Styela clava: one gene and its partner. The protein of the gene in region 1 binds, or shares a complex with, the protein of each later gene. Links are inferred from orthologs where the notes say so. Each region holds a gene or a part of one and is shown on either strand. Other genes may lie near its edges.

Region 1 (10,792 bases):
ACGAAATGGACTACGAGTTCCGAAAAAAGCTCCTTTTTCCAGTTTTGTAAATACATTTCAAACCAATTTTTTCCATTTTCCAATTATAAATGTTTGCTATGTCCATACAACGAGCAAAATCCGCTTCTACAGTTTTCTTTTATTTATAGAAAATGTCCAAAGATATTTTTATCGCTAGATTGAGGTCTATTGGATAGTCCTGATAAGACGGAGACATTGATAACGATTGTCGTACTAGTTCTTTTTTACAATTCTACAATAGGAGACTCAAATGTGCACAGATTCGATTGATTCTTCTAGTGATTACCCGTACTAGCACGCAGTTCAAAATCGCGATGCATGGACGACAGCATATTATGAAAATATGCACCTTCGATGTTTGCATCGTAGCCTCGTCCATGAAATTATTTTCAGATAGGCTACTGATCTTTACTGTGGCCCATATATAATGTTAAACTAGGCTCATGTGAAACTATTGGACATACGCGTCACTATACGAATCCTCTGCTTAGTTGCCTCGCAGATTGGCGCTTCAGAAATATGTACAGGGAGGATTAAACCCGAATGGGGTCTTGGCAGGGGAATTAAACCCGAATGGGGCTCCATTTCCCGCAGAATAAAAACCCTTGTGCGCATACTTTAGGAGTACCCGCTGATTTATCATAATTCAATAAACATTTGTTCGCAATTAGGGCTGGGCATTTTCAAATACCTAGTGGTTTTACAATTAAATCGAATATTTTCCGAATCAAATCTCGAATACTTGAAAGTTTGGTATCTGAATGCCACTTTTTTATTGAACTACTGAAAACATACACTCCATCACTCAGACAGTTGGTTTTGTGTTCACACAGAATAAGAAACCTGTTTCATCAATAAATCACTCGCATGTCAGTTTGTATTGTAAGAAATATGTCTCAACAAAAAAATCCCGCAACCTAGCTCTTCAGTGAACAAGAAAAAAGATGGCGGCGATTCGAAATTTTCGTCCGGACGATTCCAAAAATTTACTATTCGATTCTGAAATGCCCAACCCCATTCGCATTTCACAATGTTAAAAATCAAGTGCATAGCCTAAATCAATTGCATTACTTTTCCAACTTATACTTTGCTTTCAAGCATAAACTTCAACTGTTTTATGCAATTCCACCCACTCCACATTTTTTCATTCAAACTAAACCAGAAGTCCAACTTTCCGTTCTGAATACAACTTGGAGTGTTCTGCAAGATGAGATTAAATTATCATCAAAAACAGCTTTAAAATAGCGGATTGGGGAAGGATCATTTCTAAAGTTGCCTGTGACATATAACCAGGGGAGTGTCTAGGTAAGGGACATAGAGGCAGCCGCCCCGGGAAGCACGATTTAGGGGTGAGTTTGTTGCTTAGTTAGATGATCGAAATAATAATAATACAAATATTCCACTCTCACTTGATCATTGATTGGTTCATATTCGTGTATAACAAAAACTATAATTTGTTTATCTCTCTTATTATTTTTAAAGTTAGGCATGAGGGGCAATATTATGAGAAACTCGGCCCGGTTAGCAAAAAATTTGACACCTCCATGCATGTAACGCAAGTTTTTCTCTCTGGCGCATTCGAATTCCAGCATATATTTCAATATAATGCTTTCAATACTTGTCATGGCGAATGCAAGATACAAGACCCATTACCTGATTTTTAATAAATGACGCAAATATTCTACAAAATTGAATAAAAGTTGAAAAATATTTTTTTAATGGTTCCGAGCATCGTCGGGTGCGGACGTGGTTACTTGAAAAGTCTTAGAGAATGCTACCGCTGTGTGTTTCGGTATTTACTGTTGGTCCCGTTAGTCGTTGGTTGACTTGGACCACTGCAACTGTTGGAATGGTGGTCGTTCGTGGAAATTCAATATTAATGCTGGAAGCATTGGAACGGATACAATGATTTTAAATTGAACTAATCGAAAACGACAAGGGAGCCCGATACCTCAGTCCATGATTTGTGCGTGGACTGTTATGGAACATTCAATCTATTTAACGAGCTTGTTTTTCAGTAACAATTTTTTGTCACTGTGTTATTTTTTCAATGAAATTGAACTACAGCATCACCATTTTACCTCAACGAGTGTTTTTTTATTCCATATTTTGGTAGGAAAAGCACTGTTGTTATACAGATACACGTCTCACATTCTAAAATTGATGCAAAAGGTATTGCCATATTTTACATCGTACTTTTGTTTTATTGTGTTTTTTTTGACTGTTTTTGGTGGACGGGCACGTACTTGTACGTTTGTAACTTTTTTATTAAGTTATGCCCGTTCTCCAGGTTCTCTACATTTTGTTTGTTGTTCGTTTTGTTTCTTTCAGTGTGAGCGAAATAAAATTGATTGATTGATTGAACCATGCATAAATTCCTGAGCAAACGAAATGCCTCAGCGTCTAGAAAATCACGATTGTTACGTCATCAGGTCATCGTTGACTCTTAGCTAATTGAGCACTGTGACGGATATAAATAAGGAAATCAATGCCATGGGAAATATCCCGAGCGACACCTATCCGATGCAATGCGTATGATCCGATATAAATATTGAGCGAGTTCATAATCTATTCTATCATTACCGCCTGCCTATGACTTCGTTACTGTTAGTCATTCAGTGCAGCATGTGGTGTAATACCGTAGTAGCTGGATAGTCCTTTAGTACAGCGCAGTAGGTTGCACACATGTCTGCATGTAGGGTTAATTTCTGTGAAACGATCCGGATGTGAGAGAGATCGCTGACGACTGGCGTTAGTGGGTTCATTTAATCTTGGTATTCTAAAGGCAGAAATGAGTTGAACAATTTAACCATTTAGTACCGGTACCGCTACCGGTACGTTACAGTAAATAGTACGGTAACAATCTATTTACCAGTACCGGTACGGTACCGCGCATATTTTAATTTATGTCAATAATATTGGATTGAATATCAAATAATGCGTCAGAGTATAACCGGTACAGAATATCATAAACTCATTCATCATTGGTTGTATCCCTGATGAATAAGCGGATAGCCTTAGTACCGCCACCGGTACCGTAATAGTAATGTCACTTTTCATAATACAGTAATATAGATATACATACAGGATATAAATCCATTTATTGCAACATATTCACTAGACGCCGTTCTTCTATTTAGTGTGGCACAACCATTTTTACATATGTTTTTCTTAACCCCCACCTGGCTCCGTCATCCAAAGATGACGGTATGTCACAACTCACAACAACCTCACAATCCTGCAATCACATCAAAGAGCTTGCACTAACGTCAGTGATCTTTCTCATATCGGGATCGTTATGACGAGAAAACGAGAGAATTCGCTTGCTCGATTTCGGGTGATCGTCTGCGCGTTTTGGACAACCATCCACATACTTTGATGGGCCATATTACGCTACTGTGATGCCGAAATGAGGAAATTTTTCGGTGACGTAGTCAGGTGGGGGTTAGGATTGACATATGCAAAAATTGTTGAGCCAGGCCAACTAGAAGTGCATGTGGTACTAAACTATACCGTAAAAGCGCCTAACTTCGGACAAAATTACTATATTTTCGTCAATAACTCGGCCATTTATTGTCCAAACGGTGCCAAAATTGCTCGGTAAAACATTCGTGCGGTAATTTACATTCCCTGCAAATTTCGATTCAATTGGACTATTTTTACTATTGAAATAATCGATATTTCTTGCCATCTGACCGTTATCCTTCACTGCCCTAACTTCGGACAGTCATTTTCTTCACTGCGTAACCGCGACGCACAGAGAGAAAGAGGCTCCCGATGCGGATGACGTAATCACGTCGTTGCGTGAAGATAAGACGCCCGATCGTCGTCGTAACGTAACATTGACGTCACGACGAAAATGCATTATTTGAAACTTCCGTCGTCCTATGTTTACATCTTTCGTTCGTTATTTTCGATACTTCAGATGAGTATAATAACACGTTAGTCATTTTAATCAGGAAATGCATACGTAAATATATCTGATGCAAACCGTTTCAATCCACAATGAAGTATTTCAACGGGCTTCTATCGAAGTCTTTGAAGTATTAATATTCTCGACGGATAGCTTTTTTTATTCTGCGCGGTTATCTTTATAAATGATAATTTATATCAAACACACGGTAAATCCGATTGTAAAGTTTAATTTAAAATTCAACTTAATCTTGTAAACATGTAGGTCCCGTTTATTTGTTGGAGATTAAATTTATTTTTAATTTCGAGTGAATAAAATTCACCCAGGCCGTATTCAATAACTGTCATTTCGACTACTAATCATAAAATAATGGTTAAGTCAGTGCACTGTGCCATATGGACGTTGGAATTATCATAGTTCATTATATATTCGATTTTTAACGTCATCGATTAAGTGTGACATGTATTTTCATTAATGTAATTTTGGCATATATTCATACATGACCGAACAAAATACAAAAATATTAGATTGAAACGCCGTCTTTATCTTAACGGAAATTGTCATATTGGCTCCGTTGTGTCTGGCGTCAAAATTCATTTCCGCGACGCAGTGTGACGTCGTGTGGGAAGTGAGCGAAAAATAATCTACGTGAGGTTGACGTAATTTTTGACGCTGCGTGAAATCTTAATATTCTTACGGAATTTATAATTCAGAATTTTAGGTTTTATTTAAATCTCGTACGACATCTTGCGATCACTCAAATATATTATATACATTGTTGTCGCCCTCTACCGAATGATGGTATTTTGACGACGATAGCTTCAGTAGGAGCGACGCTCTGCGCCGTTGAATGCCGGGCAGTCAATTTTCGACAAAATTTCCGTTTTTTTACCAAAAAAATAATTATGCAACATTAAAAAAGATGAGAATAGATGTAGATATAACAGCGCAACCTATAATAATTAAAATTAGCAATATACGGCGCGTTTTAGCCAAGATATGGCCGTTCAAAAATTTTGTCCGAAGTTAGGCGCTTTTACGGTACCAGACCCGAATACGCTTTCCACCGCATCTCTGATTACCCTTCGTGGAATCATAGGTTTGAATCTCATGCAAGGATGATCATGCGCGAGATGATTGCTGGACTCCTAGCCGCCGTTGGGTGGTTCACGTAACCGCTGGCAGTTACGGCTTCCTCCACCATCAAGTCCATGCTTCCGAAAACAAATAACTGGCTATCTAATCCCATACCCGACCTGGACAGGTAACTGGACGAGCGGCCATGGTTTGCCATATGATTAAGCAGTCTTGCGGGCTTTCCTCTCCCCCGGGATAAATATGTAAATCCTATCCTACCTTCAAACTTTACGAACTGTCATCCAAGACGTGCAGACAAGCACCCGAAATCGAACAGGTATTTCCCTCGTTTTATCAACGATCCCAATATGAGAGAGATCGCTGACATTAGTCAGTTCTTTATCGTCGGCGATGATGCCATTTCGGGCGATTGTACATATATTTAGCAAGCTCCGTGACATGATTGTGATGTCATAGTGACGTACTTTTTGGATGGCGTAGTCAGGTGGGGTTTAGGATTAACATGTCAAAAAATTGTTATGCTACGCCCACTAGAAGTATGTTAGGTATAAAACTACACGAGACCTGATGACAGTTAGTATAGTTTGGGGGGTCTTATTACATTGCTGTGATGTCATAGTGATGTAATTTTTGAATGACGTAGTTAGGTGGGGGTCAGGACTAACATATGCCAAATAGGTTGTGCTACGCCAACTAGAAGTACCTACATTGTGTTGTGAACATGGCCCCATTTATTAGTGATATTATACAAAATAATTCGATTGAATGACAAGCATTTTGTTCTGCCAATAAAAGCAAGAGAAAAATGGACTGTTGATTTAAGGGTTTATTCCACCATTGATTGGAGAAAATGTGACCCAGAGTTTGGGAACCACTGGCCTAGACTATAACAGTATAATGGTTTGCTAAGCACATTCTCAACTGATTCTTCAATTTCAGGTAAAAAAAGCGGATACCAGTCATCTGGTCATAGAAATGGTGTTACATCATGTTATGAACTGCAATAATTTAGGTTTGAATAAGCATATTGGATACTACCATCTTTTGTTTCTATTTGTATTTATTTTTCCTTCGCAATGCATCGCAGAAGCAAATTCACAAGTTACTGGACTTATGGCGGGAAATTCAGGTAAAGTTTATAATATTTCATCCGTTTAATTTAATTAATTTTGCAAAAGATATGTATTAAATTTAAATGGAGTTGAAGCTATTTGTTTTACATTGAATATATGTTTCTCATGATGATTTCATATTTTATTGCTTAGACTGTAATTTCTTATGCATATTGAGTTGGTAGTGAAATTACTGTTTAGTTTTGGTTTACATTGGTCTATAAAATTCTCAACCAACTGCATTTTTCCATAATTAATTTTCCCAATTAGTGTACAACTTGGAGAGTAGATTCTCTAATCAAAATTGATTACCACTATGTGTCACACAATAGACAACTGAGACAGATAGTCATCGAATAGATTCAAACTTATCGATGTTTTATATGACTTCATTATATAAACTCACATTTTACATCACCCGAAAATATATTTATTTTGCATGAGAAGCATTTTTTATCCTACTGCATTATCGTTATTCGTCAATCTGTTATATCATTTTCAGGAAATTATACCAGTGAAGGTGTTCCCATTGTCTACATGCCGCAACCGACAACTCTAGTAATGTTTGGTACTGATCTGCAAAAATTAAGCCGCATCACTTTTGTAAAAAAAGCTTTAAGCTATGGAGAAATTTGTGATGATTATATGGAACAACCATCATTTCCAGTTGAATCAACCAATGTTACACAAACCATAGGAAAAGTCGTTGTTACTCTCAAACATACCGTTGAAGATGACCAACAGTTATTTTTTCTCTGTGTAAAAAATAACAACACATCACATTATTTGCACCAAGGGTCAAAAAATTATGTCAAAATATCTGTGAGGATTCAAACGCATGGTGAAGGCACATTGATGCCTATACCACTTCAGGTATACTCCCTGTTTATAATATGCAGTTTGGAGAGTTTATAATATGCAGAGTTTTTTACATTAGTTAACTTAAATATCATTAGGCAGTTTTCACAATTATCTTTGCGGCTGTAAAGGCATATCTAGTTGGTATTGAGTTAGGTAATCGCATGCTCTTTGTGATATGTTTTAGGCCCTATTCAAAGAGGAATATTTTTGAATATTCAATTCAAAAAATAATTCTAGTTATGTTGCTGTTGTATAATGTTAATTATTTTTATTTTTTTGAAAGGAATAAAATATATATAAGAAAATGTTTCACCACTGTGTTCGAGATTTCTGTATTGCAATAGTTTAATAAAAAAAATTTAAATATCTGAAAAAGTCATGGACTATTGGATTCCATTGTAGTAATGTATAAGCTCAATATTCAATATTCACAAAAATGCGCTTAGCATGATGTGGGCTATTTCGTATAATAATTCAGTTTTGGCAATCTATTATCCAAAGTATAAAATACAACAAATTAATTGTCATTGCATTGTAGTTGTAAGTATTTATTGCTTTGAAATTTTAGAAGTGTCACCTGTGATATATTTTATTTATTAGAGGTTTCATACAGTCTATTTATAAAAGATATTTAGACAAAGTGCACTGTCAGCCGTTCTGTCTGCAGTAGAACATAAAAAATTCATAATACTAGACTGAAAATTGCAATTGTCTAGCTGCATAATATTTTATAATTTGTATAACAACTAATGACTCCTTATTTTGTTCAAAGAATAGCATCTAAAGATGCCCAATATAATTGTATTTAGTTAACTTTTTAATAAACACTGTGAATGAGTGATTCAAATTTTAGAATTCAAGTTCTAGAAATCTTAGCTTCAGAGAGATTTCTTTAATATTTCACACGTTTAAGAGAAATTATTTGAACACCGCCAATGATAAACAACAACTTTTTGAAGTTGTGTACATTTCCGCATACACATTTAGGTGTGAAATTAGTCCTGCCTTGTCATGATTAGTAATCATGGGCAGATGGAGAAGTGACACACGTCTGCCTTCCACAATTTACGTTCTTCGAATAATAATATTGGAAATTACAAAAATTTTCATTTTGATCTACAAGAAATTTTACACGATTTTGTGATGTCATGAAACTTTACCACTGAGTAGTAGCGCTCACTGTTGCAAATTAGTTATGTTATGATTTTTGCCGTTAAATGTAGAAATAGTTTTAAATGATATCATTCTGCAGATTTATATTCTAATTTTCCTGAGTTCAATTCAATTTCATTTTGATCCATCATATTCACACATTACTTAGTAAGATCTCAGATCATTGTAAGGTCATAGGATGTCTTCCATTATCACCTTCTAATAATCTTCACCAAGTTAAATACTTATTAATGTATGTACTATTGAGTTTGTGGACAAATCATAATTTTTTAGAGGTAAATAAGGGTAATGACATTGAAAACAATACTCAATATCTATTTCTCAAAGCAAACTTATAAATACTATCGATTTCAACGTTTTGCTCAAATCAATAAACCTCGTGATTGTGATGAAATTTTTAATATCTTCGTCACAATTATGACATAATTGAATTTTCTCTATAAATTTAGCTTATTTTTATATTTATCAAATATGTAATTTTTTACTGTGATAGTAAAATTTGCATTTGTTTTTTATTTAATATACAGTTTTGCTTAAAACTTGATTTTGAGTTACCAATCAAAAATGAATAGAGCTCTAATAAGTAGATGTGAAGAAATATGTATGGTTCATCTTCACAACATAGTAGCCATTACGTAATAAAAACTACTGTATTTGTTGTTAATGTAACATTTTTCAAATTCAGATATCGCTCATTGCAGTCCTTCTACTCATGTCTGGTATATTCTCTGGTCTCAATCTTGGACTTATGGCGCTCGATCCAATGGAGTTGAAAATTGTTCAAAACTGTGGAAGCACTGCAGAGAAAAAATATTCCAAAGCAATTTATCCGATTCGTAAAAAGGGAAATTACTTACTCTGCACTTTGCTATTAGGTAATGTCCTGGTGAACAACACAATGACTATTCTATTGGAAAACATTACTTCTGGATTATGGGCTGTTATCGGATCAACTATTGGTTTGTATTTGTTTGTTTTAAACTTGAAAAGCTTGTTTAGGGACACATAAATTTCGAAATAATGACCTTTGTGGTTTATATCTATTTACCAGATCGTCACATTATACAAAGTGATATTTGAATGTTTAATTAATATATAAATAATCCAGGTTTTTGCAGTTGAAAGTAGGGATATTAGTATACAAAAGCTTAGATATTTTGAAATTTTGCTCGTAAAATAGTTTCAATTTTGAATGTTTCAAATTGACCAGTCATACACTAACTCAGTGGTTCCCAACACCTTTTTGTCAAAATTCTAAAAAATCTAAAATTTTAAAAAATAATTGTTGTAAAATCTTTTGATTCAAGGACATGCTCAAATACTAAACAACATTTACTGTAGTTCTTTTGTAGCTGCAAAATTAAATTAATAATATGAAACAATCGTTTTTACTAAATATTCACTTTACCAGAAATTAACCAGAGTGCGTAAGTCGCGCTTGTGTGCCATCAGAGAGTTACTGAATTTGTAGCGTGGCGTTACTCAAGCAAATGGGCGGGCCTCTGCCTATTTTTTTTTCGCTGCAATGCTTCCCATATATACAATTGAGCAACACTAATGTCAAATGAAAAATAAATTTACCAGAAAATGGAATGAATAAATAAAATGAAATTTATTGGAAAAAAAAGCGACCCCAAGAGGACTTCCAGAAAAAATTTAGTCTTTTGCATAAAATGATATACAGTGTCAAATTCGTACCATGGATACAATTTATTATTATTTTATATTATTAGTATTGTCCTGCCAATAGTTTTAGTGTTTTCAACCTGTACATGTACATTTGTTCTTACTTAAACTATTGTTATGTTAAGTTGCGATAGAGAGATTGAATTTACAAATTCATGTACATGCAGAGGTAGTATCAGTAACCTATTGATTTTTAAATTACTACCAATGATTTAAATGTAATGTAATCTGTCAGATTATTGACCCAACAATGTGTTGCTACATAAAATCAATAATAAATGTCTCAAATTACATTGTGATTTTACAATATGTAATACCATGTTCTTGTGTTTTACTGTGTTAACATAAATAATAATTTTGAAAATACGACTGCCTTTGTGATATTCCTATATTGCAATAAAATCCTATATTTATACTTTTGCTGTTTACTAAATTCATACCTTTTTTATTTTTTTTTTGTTTATCAGTGTTCTATTGTTAACAAGGCATTATTATAAAATATTCATATTGTAATTGATAGTTGAATTATCAATTATGTTTGCATGAGAAAGTTTGACTTGAAACAAATGAAACCTTGCAGAAATATATCAGTGCTGTGTGAGAGTTGCAAATCCAAAATAGTCATAACTCATAATATTTAGACATTCATACTTTGAACTAAATTCTGAGGATTTCTTGTGTTTTATTTATGATACTGATATTAAAAATTCGCAATAACGGCATTTAAAATTAGTTAACCCTGAAAAAAAAATTACTGTTATGACAGTCTTTATTAATCAAGAAAATCTGTAATAATATTTTTTCTCATTAAAAAGTTGGCTTTTGGCATGATTTGAATTGAATAGGAAAAAAAAATTATTGTTTCAATTTTGCATTTATCATGAATTATTTTAGTATTTTCCTATTTTGTAAATTTTGGAACTATTTC
Region 2 (11,207 bases), about 5.3 Mb from region 1:
GGTGATATAATATTCTGATATTTGAACATTTCTTTTTTAAAAGTAATATGATTGTTATATCAATTCATGATATAAATTTGAAACAGATTGCTTTATCGGAAATATATACTCGCTTTCTTATTAATATTTAAAATGTATATAAAGATGTTCTTCTGAAATAGCTAGTAGAAGTAAATGCTAGCCTATAGCATCTTATTTATGGTATTCAAGTTCCGTCACATAGAACAAAAATATTTGCTTTGCATAGATAGATATACTGCAGTCTACAAATATTATGAAATTGTGAAAGACTGTCAATAAATATATTATCTAATTTATCTCCAAATTGAACTACCGTAATTTCCAATAATAAAATTATATTATTTAAAAGAGATTCAAGAATATGAATTGTTCATGTAGTAGCAATAAGGAATGTATAACACAAACACACATTTCCTAAGTATGAACCTCATTCTAGGTGGAAAAACAAACAGTATCAGGAACACTTAAAATCCACTCACGTCAATGACTCAAACAACATTCAAAAACAGAAATAGTTAAAAGCTAGTTGAGACCGGTTACTAAGCTACCATAACAAGGTGGTTTCATGATATAAATATTCATGCAGTAATTGAATTAGTTAGTAAACAGCCCATAGTAGAAGCTTGAAAACAAAAATAACAACCAAAATAAGGTTTATCAGGCTTAGTACCAATACAAGACATGATTAACTTCTTTCTAAATAACCAAAGCTCGAATTTAATAGGCTGATATAGGAATTTTATCATGTTATTTGTTGTCTGTGAAAATCAAAGTCTACAAGAAAAAAAATAGCTACAAAGAACAAAGATTAGAAACACAATAGGAAAACTATTGCTTCAGTGTCACTTATGGTGAATAATCTGCTAAGCATTACAAAATTCTGATGCAACATGGTTGAAAATCGCACTTCCTGGCTTTGTGAATTTATACTTTGAAATGAGCCCCAAATTCAGGAATTGTTCCTGAAAGTGATCCATTATTGTATATGTACAACAAACAGCCTTCAGGGAAAGCCGTAAAACTAAATTAGGTAAAATAACTTTTATTTGCTTCATGTAATTTATGGCGTATAAAGCCATAAAAAAAGCTTGAAAACCTGGTTACATCAAGTCATCAAATAGGGTTCATTTCTGCCATGCAACTATATACAACAATTTTGGGGGAATTATCTTCCTAGAAAAATCGTATTATAGAAAATAGAATTTACTTCGATAAATTTTTCCATGGTGGCATTGGTTGGGTTGTGAGTGATCAGAAACCTCATGTTCTTGTATTGAACTTCTACTGGTGCTGGTCTGTTCATTCTTGCCATTCTTTGTCACAGCTTTCTAGAAACAACAGTTCCTTTTAGTTATTAAAAAATTATCAATCCAAAAATATGGTTACTTTAAGTAGGTGATATTGAATAATGAATCAATAATACAAAGCTATTTTTACTATAATTACAAAAATTATAAAATCAATCTCTATGAATATATAATGATGTGTAAAATATTTGTTCAAGTTTGATTCAAATATATATTGCTCATTAAAACACTATTTTTAGACTGTATTTAGATTAACAAATTATCCGATTTCAATTCTCCCAGATTGAGATAATATGGCTCTATGAATATTCAAATAGTTTCTTATACAAAGGCAATTTCGAACAGTTGCAAAAAAGCCTTGAGGCAATTTCCTGTCACAACCAAATTATTAAATCACCTGAGTTCAATAAATCTCTTCAATGTTAGTCAGAGAGCTGACAGCAACACAGTTAAAATAGGTTTTACTACATGATATAATATTAGCACATGCACTAACACAAAACCTATAGGCTTTCTAAAACAATCTATTAGAAGAAACAGTAAAATTTTTACACACTGTCTGCTTCCGATGCTAAATTTTTTGTTTGATTATCAAAATCCTACTTGTCAGTAGATTCGATACAACTCACAATGCAGTGGGAAACAACCTGGCCAAATGGTAGAGGGATCTAAGACCTTTTGAACATATTTTGCTTTTGAGCATGGAAAATTGTACCGTAGTTATGAAATTATGCTGATAATCAATGATTACAAATGATGGTGGAGTTTTAATAATGGGTTGCATAATGATTTCATAATATTACTCCAATAAAATATCAATCTGAATATTCTAAAAATATTCAGTCTTCCTAACTATAACAAATTTATTCCATTTAATAAGGTTATATATATTTTTTTAAATTCGTGGAATTAAACCTCCTTAATAGTGGTTAGGTGTCATTTATATTTAGTAATATAGCAAGCTTAAATAAAAAGCTGTTTGACAAATTTTCTCCTTTTCTAGTGACCACCCTGTATATTGCCCAGCTTATGATCTGACTTATTAATCCCAAAATCAATTCAAACATAGACACTTTCAAGCAATTACCAAATACATTTTCTTGGCCATACCTCTAATATACAAGGAAGACTGAACGTTATCTAACTATTGCTCATCAACTAATAAAATGAAGCAACTAAAATATAACCCTAGCACAAGAGTGTCAACTATCATCACATTTCAAATGAAGTGAGAGGTGTAAAACTGTATGTTTGTTATTGGTAACACTGTCATACAGATGTCAACAGAGACATATATAAAGACCTGAATCTTGAAATTTCAATATTTTCTTGAGTTGAAGATATATCAATAACAATAACTGCCATAATAAATAGCAAGAAGATTGATAAAAATTATGGACAATTTCAAATTTAAGAGGCTCAAATTATGGTCAATTTGTACAATTCACATATTCTAATTTTGTTTGTCATATCCATCAATGTATGAGCATATATATGTATATATATTTTTTTTTTGCTGCTTTGTATTCTTTATTTTGAAATACAAACTTTAAACAAAGAGATTTGTGTTAGTGTGCAAGGTTCCTGAATCACTTGAATTATATGCATACAGTGTAGGCAGTTAGTCTTATCTGACCCCAACTAATATTTCTATCATAATATTCATTTTTATTCAAGCAAAATCACTTCCATTCACGACATTAACAATTTTGATTCAACTGTAATTATAATCTAGTTTTATAGCACAATGTATGAGATACAAACTTGAAAAGTATCGTAACTTACATTCAAAAACTCTTGGCAAATGTTGACAGAGGCTACTAGGGTTTTAATAATGAAGTCGAGGTAGTTGTATGTCGCCTTCAACGTCGCAGTGATGACCCCTCAATGACTTCGTTTAAACAAAAACTTCACCCCATTCGATTACCTAAAAGAATTGAATTCATGACATTTCAATGCCTATGAAGACTTGAAAAGATATAAAAAAAAATCGAATTGTGAAATAAATAAAGCAAGGTCAAGAGTCAGTAAAATAATAGGAAACTTTCAAGACTTTATCAGACAAAGATAGTACAAACTATGTTCGGAATATTTCGAAACTTCAAGAAGCATTTACATTTGCCTTTAACCTTGTAAATTGATAAAGTGCTGCGTGACAATAAAACATTGTAAAAAGATTTGCTCCATTGCTTGTTCAGTTTGAAAATAACCAATATAATGTCATGAAACTGATGATTTGATAAATAATCATTTCCTAACATCCGGTTTTTTAGGGAAAATTACACAAAAGTGGGAAATTGTGGTAAAGGTAATTACCTGAATAAAAAATGAATTATCTTTCGTTTCTAAATTTTGCTGATAGCAATCTCTTCCGTTATTATTTCTGGTATTTCCAAATACCAGAAACTGTGTAGATTCACCTGAATAATAAATAAATTAAACCAGATTTGACATAGCTTGCTCATAACTCAAAAAAATGTGATAATTTGCGAAATATATTTGAATGAATGTGCATCTATATTACAATGTTCTCCAATTGAATTTCAGCTACTCATTTAGAGATTTGAATGGGAATATACTTGACAAAGTAAAAATGGAAATATGATTGAAAATATACCAAACTCATTCAGAGATGGAACTCTAGTTATATCAAGTATCTAAAAATTTGAATTTTACACTTGTTAACGATAAAAACTAAGACTGAAGAGATATAGAGATTAATTATACATCTACCCAGTACAGTGGAAACTAATATTAAACATAATTTTTACATTGGTAAATATTAATTAAATTGAATTTAAAATACAGCTACCAGATAAATTTAGCAATATACAAGTAAAGATAATTCCAATTCACAATTACTTTGCAATTCAAAAACATTTTACCTTGTATGTTGTGCGTGGCAAAGGGCACAGTGGCTTTCTGAAAATGATTCCAGAGACAACATTGACAGTCAATCAATTACAGGTTTTAATATGGCTGGTTGAAAAGTAATGAAGAATATTCATTGAAATTATGATCTCATGTCAAAAAGCTCAGGAAGTTTTCATGTATAATTCTAGCACACAATTTCATGTGTATTATTCCAAGTCATTTTTATGCACTAGTTCCAACTTTATTTCATCTCTCGCCAATAGAGTATATTTCGATATTAGCAAATTTTCAACAATTTCAAAAATATCAAACTTCAATTTGAAACTTTGATATCGATTCAAACTATTACATGTACATTTTAAATCAAAAGTTTTGCCACTCCAGCACTCAAAGCTTTTTAAAGTGAACATTTAAAATCACTATTTCCTGTCTTTAGAGACTAGCTAAATTGGTACCGTACCTATTTCAATATTTCAAATATTCTGAGCAAGAGGCATGCCCTCTGCTATGCTCTGAACATATACGGTACCGTACCATTTTTGCATTTAGTTTTCATTACATATTGATCCCACAACTCTCCGACTTGTATGTTACTATAGTCAGATGGTGCTTAATAAGTTGGATACAAGTGCACACATCTGATACCGAAGTCTATTGGCGTTATTCTAAATTGAAAATGTATTTCTGTGAAACGAGCCTCATTCTACAGTTCTAGCTTCGCATAACTACCGGTACGCAATATCAGAATATCAACCCGCGCAAGCTACTACCTTGTCTTTCAATTCAAGGCCTGTCCCTGGTCATCGTAACAATCAGACAATACTGCAATAGGTGGATAGCGCAACTGCCACTACCCGCACCGGTACCGTACGCAGAAATACATACAGACACAAGCGTATAAAAGTATAAGTAGATCAGCATCTGTTAGCGTCATAACTTCGTCACGATTGTTTTCGAGTTTCAACAAAGAAAAAGGTGAAAAATTCCCTTCGTAAACACACAATTTTTATTCCAGGGTTTATATTTCTAGAAAAGTTTCGGTAAATCACCCACGGTGGTCCTCAGAGCTATTGCACAAAAATGATCCACGCCGACTAAACAAGCAAACTATTGCGACACTCCCGCCAGTAACCGGATGATACCGGTCCAGCGTAATTCGCAATCGCTTACCATATACGTACCTAGATATCGAAGAAAGAACACCGTTGTTACCCAGGAGAAGCTGCCTTTTCTACCATAATACTATTATGGTAAATAAAAGACTCATAAAATACCCTTAATGATTTCTGGTACATTATTATTAGTCTATTTTTCGAAAAAAAATGACAAAGGCAGAGCCCACAATGCAAACCGCCTACATACCACAACTGAACGCGAATGCGTTGCCACCGAAACTATCAAGAAAGGAGATATTCGGTATGTCTCACCTATATTTCATTGTGTATAACTGCCTAGGCCCTAGGGCGTTCATTTATAAGTTACACATTATCAGGCCATGACTGCTAGTTTGAATTTTTAGAATAAGTTCTGAAAAAAAACGGCCACATTCCTGCTTCTGTTCAAATTTCATCGGAAACACTTGGCGACAGTGTACACGCCAATGCTTTGTCGCGATGTCCATGCCCAATCCCCTCCCAAAATAGGAAATAGAGCGTGAAGAGTTTCCAACGTACTTTTTCTAGAATAAAAAATTACTTCAACCTGTTCCCTAGTGAGTGTAATGTATCCATCTCCTCAGTGGCTATAGATAGATTTAGGTCATATAAAAAATGAATTCAATTTGCGTTCATGAGTGCGTTTACGGACGGATCAATGTTTGTGGTAAACTCAGTCATCAATTGAACATTAAGTCATTACTTTCTGTCCATTCAAGTTTCAAAATTGAACAACAATTATGAAATCCTTAAAAGTGAATGCTCTTATTTATACAGATTCTGTTTAACAAACTGCCTAAAAAACTGTCATAACACTTTTGTAGCATATTTGATGGCAACATAAGGGTGTCACAGTTTGAAAACCTTCAGTTTTCTGTGGCTCCACTCATCTGTGGCAACTATTTTGTGCAAATGATTTTGTTTACTGTCGATTTTAGTGTAGTACTATTCTTACTACTAACAGATGAAACTTTCTGCAGCTACAGAAAAAACTAGTCATACAATAAATTTTTATTTCAAAATACAGAAACTGAATAAATATAGGCATCATCATAGCACAATGAGAAGCTGAGACTACAGCTTGACAATAATATTTCATAAGAAAACTTTGTAATAAGCAAAACAATTTCATCAGAAGAAATAAACACAGCACAATGTTCTACACAGGCAATATACCTAAATCTATTTCGAGGAAATTCACTCTAGGAAATGAAAAAGTACTTCAAACAGTAACAAATAACGTAAATACAATTATTCACACAAAAAACATTTTGAAAATTTACCAAACTGAAAAAGTGTTAGGTCTATTTTTAAATGACTACACTAAAATATTAGTGACGATAGCCATAAATAGAAACAAAGGATAAGGAAAAGAACCAAATGCACTGATTATTTGGTCATCATTCAAGGCTGAAAAAAAGTTTAAAAATATCTTACATATCAAAATCTGTGTGTAGAGCACTTGTACTCAAAATATACCAACAGTAACAAGAAGAGCAAAAAAAGCAAACACATGTGGCACTCCGGTCTTTGCATCGCTTGTTCAGCGCCGTTTGCGGCTCCCAACACTGCAGTGAAGGTTCGCTAGGGTAATCAATATATCAGTTTCCAAATATTATATGATAAGCATGAAATCGGTAATTCATATAAAAATAATAGCATATACTTACATTCAAGCCGCGTATTATCAGTAAAAACTGGAGGCACAGATTTATGAACATATTTGTTTTGAAAGCTTCATATTAATCGGAATGTTGAAAATTTTATCTAGCAAGACAAAATGTGAGGTATGGTAATCATGATTCTAAGACTGCAAAATATGATAATAAATATTGCTAGTTACATAGTGTTGCAATGTGCAAAACAAAATCGAAAACATGATTGATTCAGTCATGAAACATTGATAATAATTACAATGTTGCAGCCAATCTTTCATCATAATTGTCAGTTTTACACAACATCATTTAAGATATCTATGCTGTAAGTAGATACCCCGAAATGTGAAAAGTATGTTACATCAGATTTCTGTCGTATGATCAAGTTAAATAGAAATAAGTCGCCTATATAAAATTTGACGAAAAAAATGTTTTCCCTGCAAAAATGACAAAACTACAGAGAAAGCAGCAATTAGGCTTATTCTTCTGGATTATTTAGAATTCTAAAATACATCTTTTGCACATCTTATAGATACAAGGTGAAATATTTCTCAGCAACAAAATGAACAGAGATTGTATACAGAGTATTATAGAAAAATGGCAAGATCCATATTCAGTAATATAATATAGAAGATATGAATAAAAAATATCAAATGCTAGTCATGATGCAATAGGCAACTGTCGTGGGCAGGTCCTCATTCCTGCATATTTCAGCATAAGCTAGATCAGGAAAGTCCAGAAGGCAACAAATATTTGAATGCATTCGACAAAAGGAATGATAACCTTAGGGATAATGTAGGTTACCTAATTTGCAAATACATTTATTTCGATCTATTGACATCCTGACAATCGTCTTATTTGACTTAGAAAAACTAATGAAACAATGTTTTTGGCAACTATGTCGCTGTAAATTTATGGTGATTTATGCAAGTATATACTCGTCTCAATATGATATTATTTCGGAATGTGTATTCAGCAAAGTGTAGACTATTCAGTTCTGGACATCAGCGAATATTTTTAACACCATATCTATATTGCAAAACATATTGTCTCTAAAGCCTTCCTACGTTTCATACAAACTCAGCTACATAGACATAAAAAGACATTCAGATAAAAACCTCAGCTCTTGTGCTGTTTCTCCGTTTCCGCGTCAAGGGGTCAGAATTCGGAGCTGTAAATCTCATAGATCGTGTGGATATGGGCAATGTCCTAAGTTGATTACCATTAGTGCTACTTTTAGACGTTCCACTTGCTGATAAATCTCTGTGAGATCCAGATGTTCCCAATCCTCTTTCTTGCTTCCCTCGAGTTAAAGTTAAAAATGAACGAGCAGGATGCCCTAGTTTTCTCTCTGGTTCTTTAGTAGACTGAGAGCCTATCTTATCTAAAAAAATTAATTTTATTACTGAAAATTTAAACCTACAATTTACTATAAATGACATCACAAATCATGTCATTTTCTAAATTTCTTTCTGATTGGAAGAAGTATTGAATATATAATATACCAAACTACATTTTTAAATTTTAATACAACTATAACTTAGCATGCATCAGTTCTTCAATACACAATCTCGATAGTATTGGCCTCAACGCATCTCTCTTCACCCTCAAAATGCCATTTTTGTGTTCATTTTTACATTCACAGTGTGTATTTCCAGTATGAACACGAAGGCCGAAACCAAGTAATACCGAATCTTTTACAGTACCGGTAGACAGTAGGCAACCTTTTGAAAAAACTCTGAACCTCGCTGACCACAAGATTGCCGAAATGCGATTGCGGAACTGGATTTTTTCAAATTTTAATGACGTCATCACACAAAACTTTAAAATGAAAAACGAATTCCATAGAACCCAGAAATTGTTTCTAGCGACAACAACAATCTTTTACCACTGAAAATTTCAGAGCAATCGGTCCAGCAGTTAGAGAGAAAAACAATTTTTTCATATCAACCACAAGAAAAAGAATAATAACAGCAACAATTTAACAATACGATCCGTAAGTCTGATCTCATTTAAATCAATATGTCACCTGCGTCATTGTTATTATTGACTCCAAACACATCAGGATGTTGTCTTTGAAGTTTCTTTATCAAATCTTTTTTCTTCCTTGGAGCGATAGATGTACTGGATTGGATAGTGGAGTATAATTCTCTGACTCGAGAGTGAGTGTATGTAACTCTTTGTTCTTGATACTCTGATTCAGATATCATTGTGCAATATGCTGTATCTGAACAATAACATGAGAAAATTTTTTTAACTTTTATTTATGTTTTGGAATCTTTCATCCCAAATTCATCTTTTTGATGCTATAATTCAGTCGAAGGATACAAACTTTAAAATTGACAAAACCAATAAACAGTGGTATTTTTTAAACTATACTTGCAAAAATATTGGCATTTATGGAAGCCATGTCTTGCAAAATACGAATAATTGCATCTAATTTTTTTATTAACATCAATATCAAAACTCAACCTGTGACAAGTGAGGGACTCTCAATCTCTCCTTGTTCCAACAGATCAACTTTTCTTTGAACAATCATTTCAACAGATGCAGGAAGCATAAATACTCTCAGATGGTGTTGAACCATGAATCGAACTAAACCTTTACAACCATTGATTCCATTCTCACAAGCAATACTGTTTGGCATTCGTAATATTGCAGGAGTGAATGTTTCAATAACAAGTGCTTGGTTGTTACCCTGAAATAAAAGGAAATACTAAATTTCTGAGGAACCATAACCATTTTAATTGGAGTTCCATGTTTGGTAAGTTTCTATTCAAGACTGTCTGAAGAGTAATCAGCTGCTATCAAAGCTGATCAAGCATTCTCAACAAAAAATAAAAGCTTGCATATGCCGAAACTTTTGCTATTGAAATTTCTTATTCTCCTAGAACATAGATAGAAATAGAGTATCAATTCGTTGACATAGTGTTAGGAGCCACAGACAAACGTTTTGTCAGTCTTGAGTCAGAGCTAAATTTTTTGTCAATCGAGAGTCAGAGTGGAGTATTTCAAGCAATTCTTGAAAAAGAGAACAATGGCTCTTTGCAGTATCAAGATGCTCGGTGAAAATTAATGCAGTACTGTAAAACACTATTACTATATACTGTTTGGACCAGCATTCCAATCATATTGGTCCTCACACTGTGATCCTCGCAATATAATAAATATCTATGAATATATTTGGAGTTATAGAAGCTACATTACCTTATGTACAAGTCTGACTTCGTTCTGTGTACAAACAACATGTAAAAACATACAAAGATGTCGCAATTCTGTCAGTCTTGCATCTGCCAGAAGATGGACAAACAATTGTGTTGCTTCCATGATTTTATCAACAGGTCGAGACACTGAAAATGATTCAATAAAAGTTTAAAATTAAATAAACAAATACTTATATTATTATAGAATTACATGCTTGTAGATTAAGAGATGAAATTCCTGAAAAGTAAAATGTTGCAGTAAAGCAGTAAAAATTTTGCACCCTCAGTCAAATTTTCAGACTTTTCATGATGAAAATTGACAGAAACTCAAAGAGAATCGAGTTAACTAAGAATTTTGAACAGATAATTTATAGAGGCATACAACTGAGTTTTTGTAATCAGAATCCGTTTTTTTTTTCAGAGTTTGGAGTTGGATTTTAATTCAAAATTCTTCACAATCGAGTCGCGAGCCAGGGTCAAAATTTTGGAGTCAAGAATGTCACAACCCAAGACTTTTTTATGGCTGCACAGCGACTAAAACTGAACTACTGAAAATACATGCAGGCATATCACAACTACATTAGAGAAGGTTGATTTCGAATTTAAGTAATTGTTTTGTTCAAATTATTTCTACATAATGCTCCAATCATAAATACAAAACAAAAATAATAATCATACCAAGTAATGAAATGATAGCTTGAGCAATCCCATTGTAGTTTTCATCAATTAATGGCCGGGTTAATGCATTGTAGTGATTGGCAATCGCAAAATAAAGCTGGAAATATAAGGATAATAAGATGTTTAAAATCAGTCTTCACATAAACAACGAATGCATTATGAATTGGTCTAATACACCTACCTAATGGGATTTATCTAAACAACAGATTTTTTTTTAATTTCGAATAAGTTCTTAATAAAGTAGAGCGTATATGACAAACTACAGCTCCCAAATACTTTCAATCTTTGTGTAACTACATTCACAAATATAATTAA

Evidence for each region.
Region 2: the proteins of metal transporter CNNM4-like (region 1) and protein tyrosine phosphatase type IVA 1-like are in contact, whole or in part, in a crystal structure (PDB 8CT8), measured with the Drosophila melanogaster proteins. The link is inferred for Styela clava from reciprocal best matches to the Drosophila melanogaster genes uex and PRL-1. Residues at the interface, in NP_001104390.2 of Drosophila melanogaster: Leu391, Val422, Thr423, Lys442, Cys445, Glu446, Gln449, Asn450, Pro451, Phe454, Phe456, Asp458, His480, Val482, Asn484, Gly488, Asp489, Pro490, Phe491, Tyr492; in NP_001260487.1 of Drosophila melanogaster: Asp32, Ile33, Thr34, Ile35, Asn36, His37, Asp77, Gly78, Cys109, Ala111, Leu113, Gly114, Arg115, Arg142, Arg143, Gly144, Ile146, Asn147, Gln150.

The regions. Positions count from the first base shown.
Region 1 is NC_135258.1:13,544,749-13,555,540, reverse strand, and holds the start of metal transporter CNNM4-like, read left to right. Parts: upstream 1-5,948; 5' UTR 5,949-6,007; coding exon 6,008-6,161; intron 6,162-6,646; coding exon 6,647-7,017; intron 7,018-8,863; coding exon 8,864-9,137; intron 9,138-10,792. UniProt on the Drosophila melanogaster protein: Probable metal transporter. Acts downstream of PRL-1 and protects the nervous system against olfactory carbon dioxide stimulation.
Region 2 is NC_135258.1:8,232,145-8,243,351, forward strand, and holds the start of protein tyrosine phosphatase type IVA 1-like, read right to left. Parts: upstream 4,314-11,207; 5' UTR 4,214-4,313; intron 3,749-4,213; 5' UTR 3,645-3,748; intron 3,256-3,644; 5' UTR 3,114-3,255; intron 1,871-3,113; exon of another isoform or gene 1,726-1,870; intron 1,350-1,725; 5' UTR 1,334-1,349; coding exon 1,229-1,333; intron 1-1,228. Other genes in the region: DEP domain-containing protein 7-like, read right to left, coding at 8,118-8,395, 9,041-9,238, 9,484-9,709, 10,219-10,361, 10,893-10,989. UniProt on the Drosophila melanogaster protein: Probable phosphatase. Inhibits growth possibly by negatively regulating Src64B-induced growth. Regulates central nervous system circuit formation and stabilization of synapse-dense terminal arbors.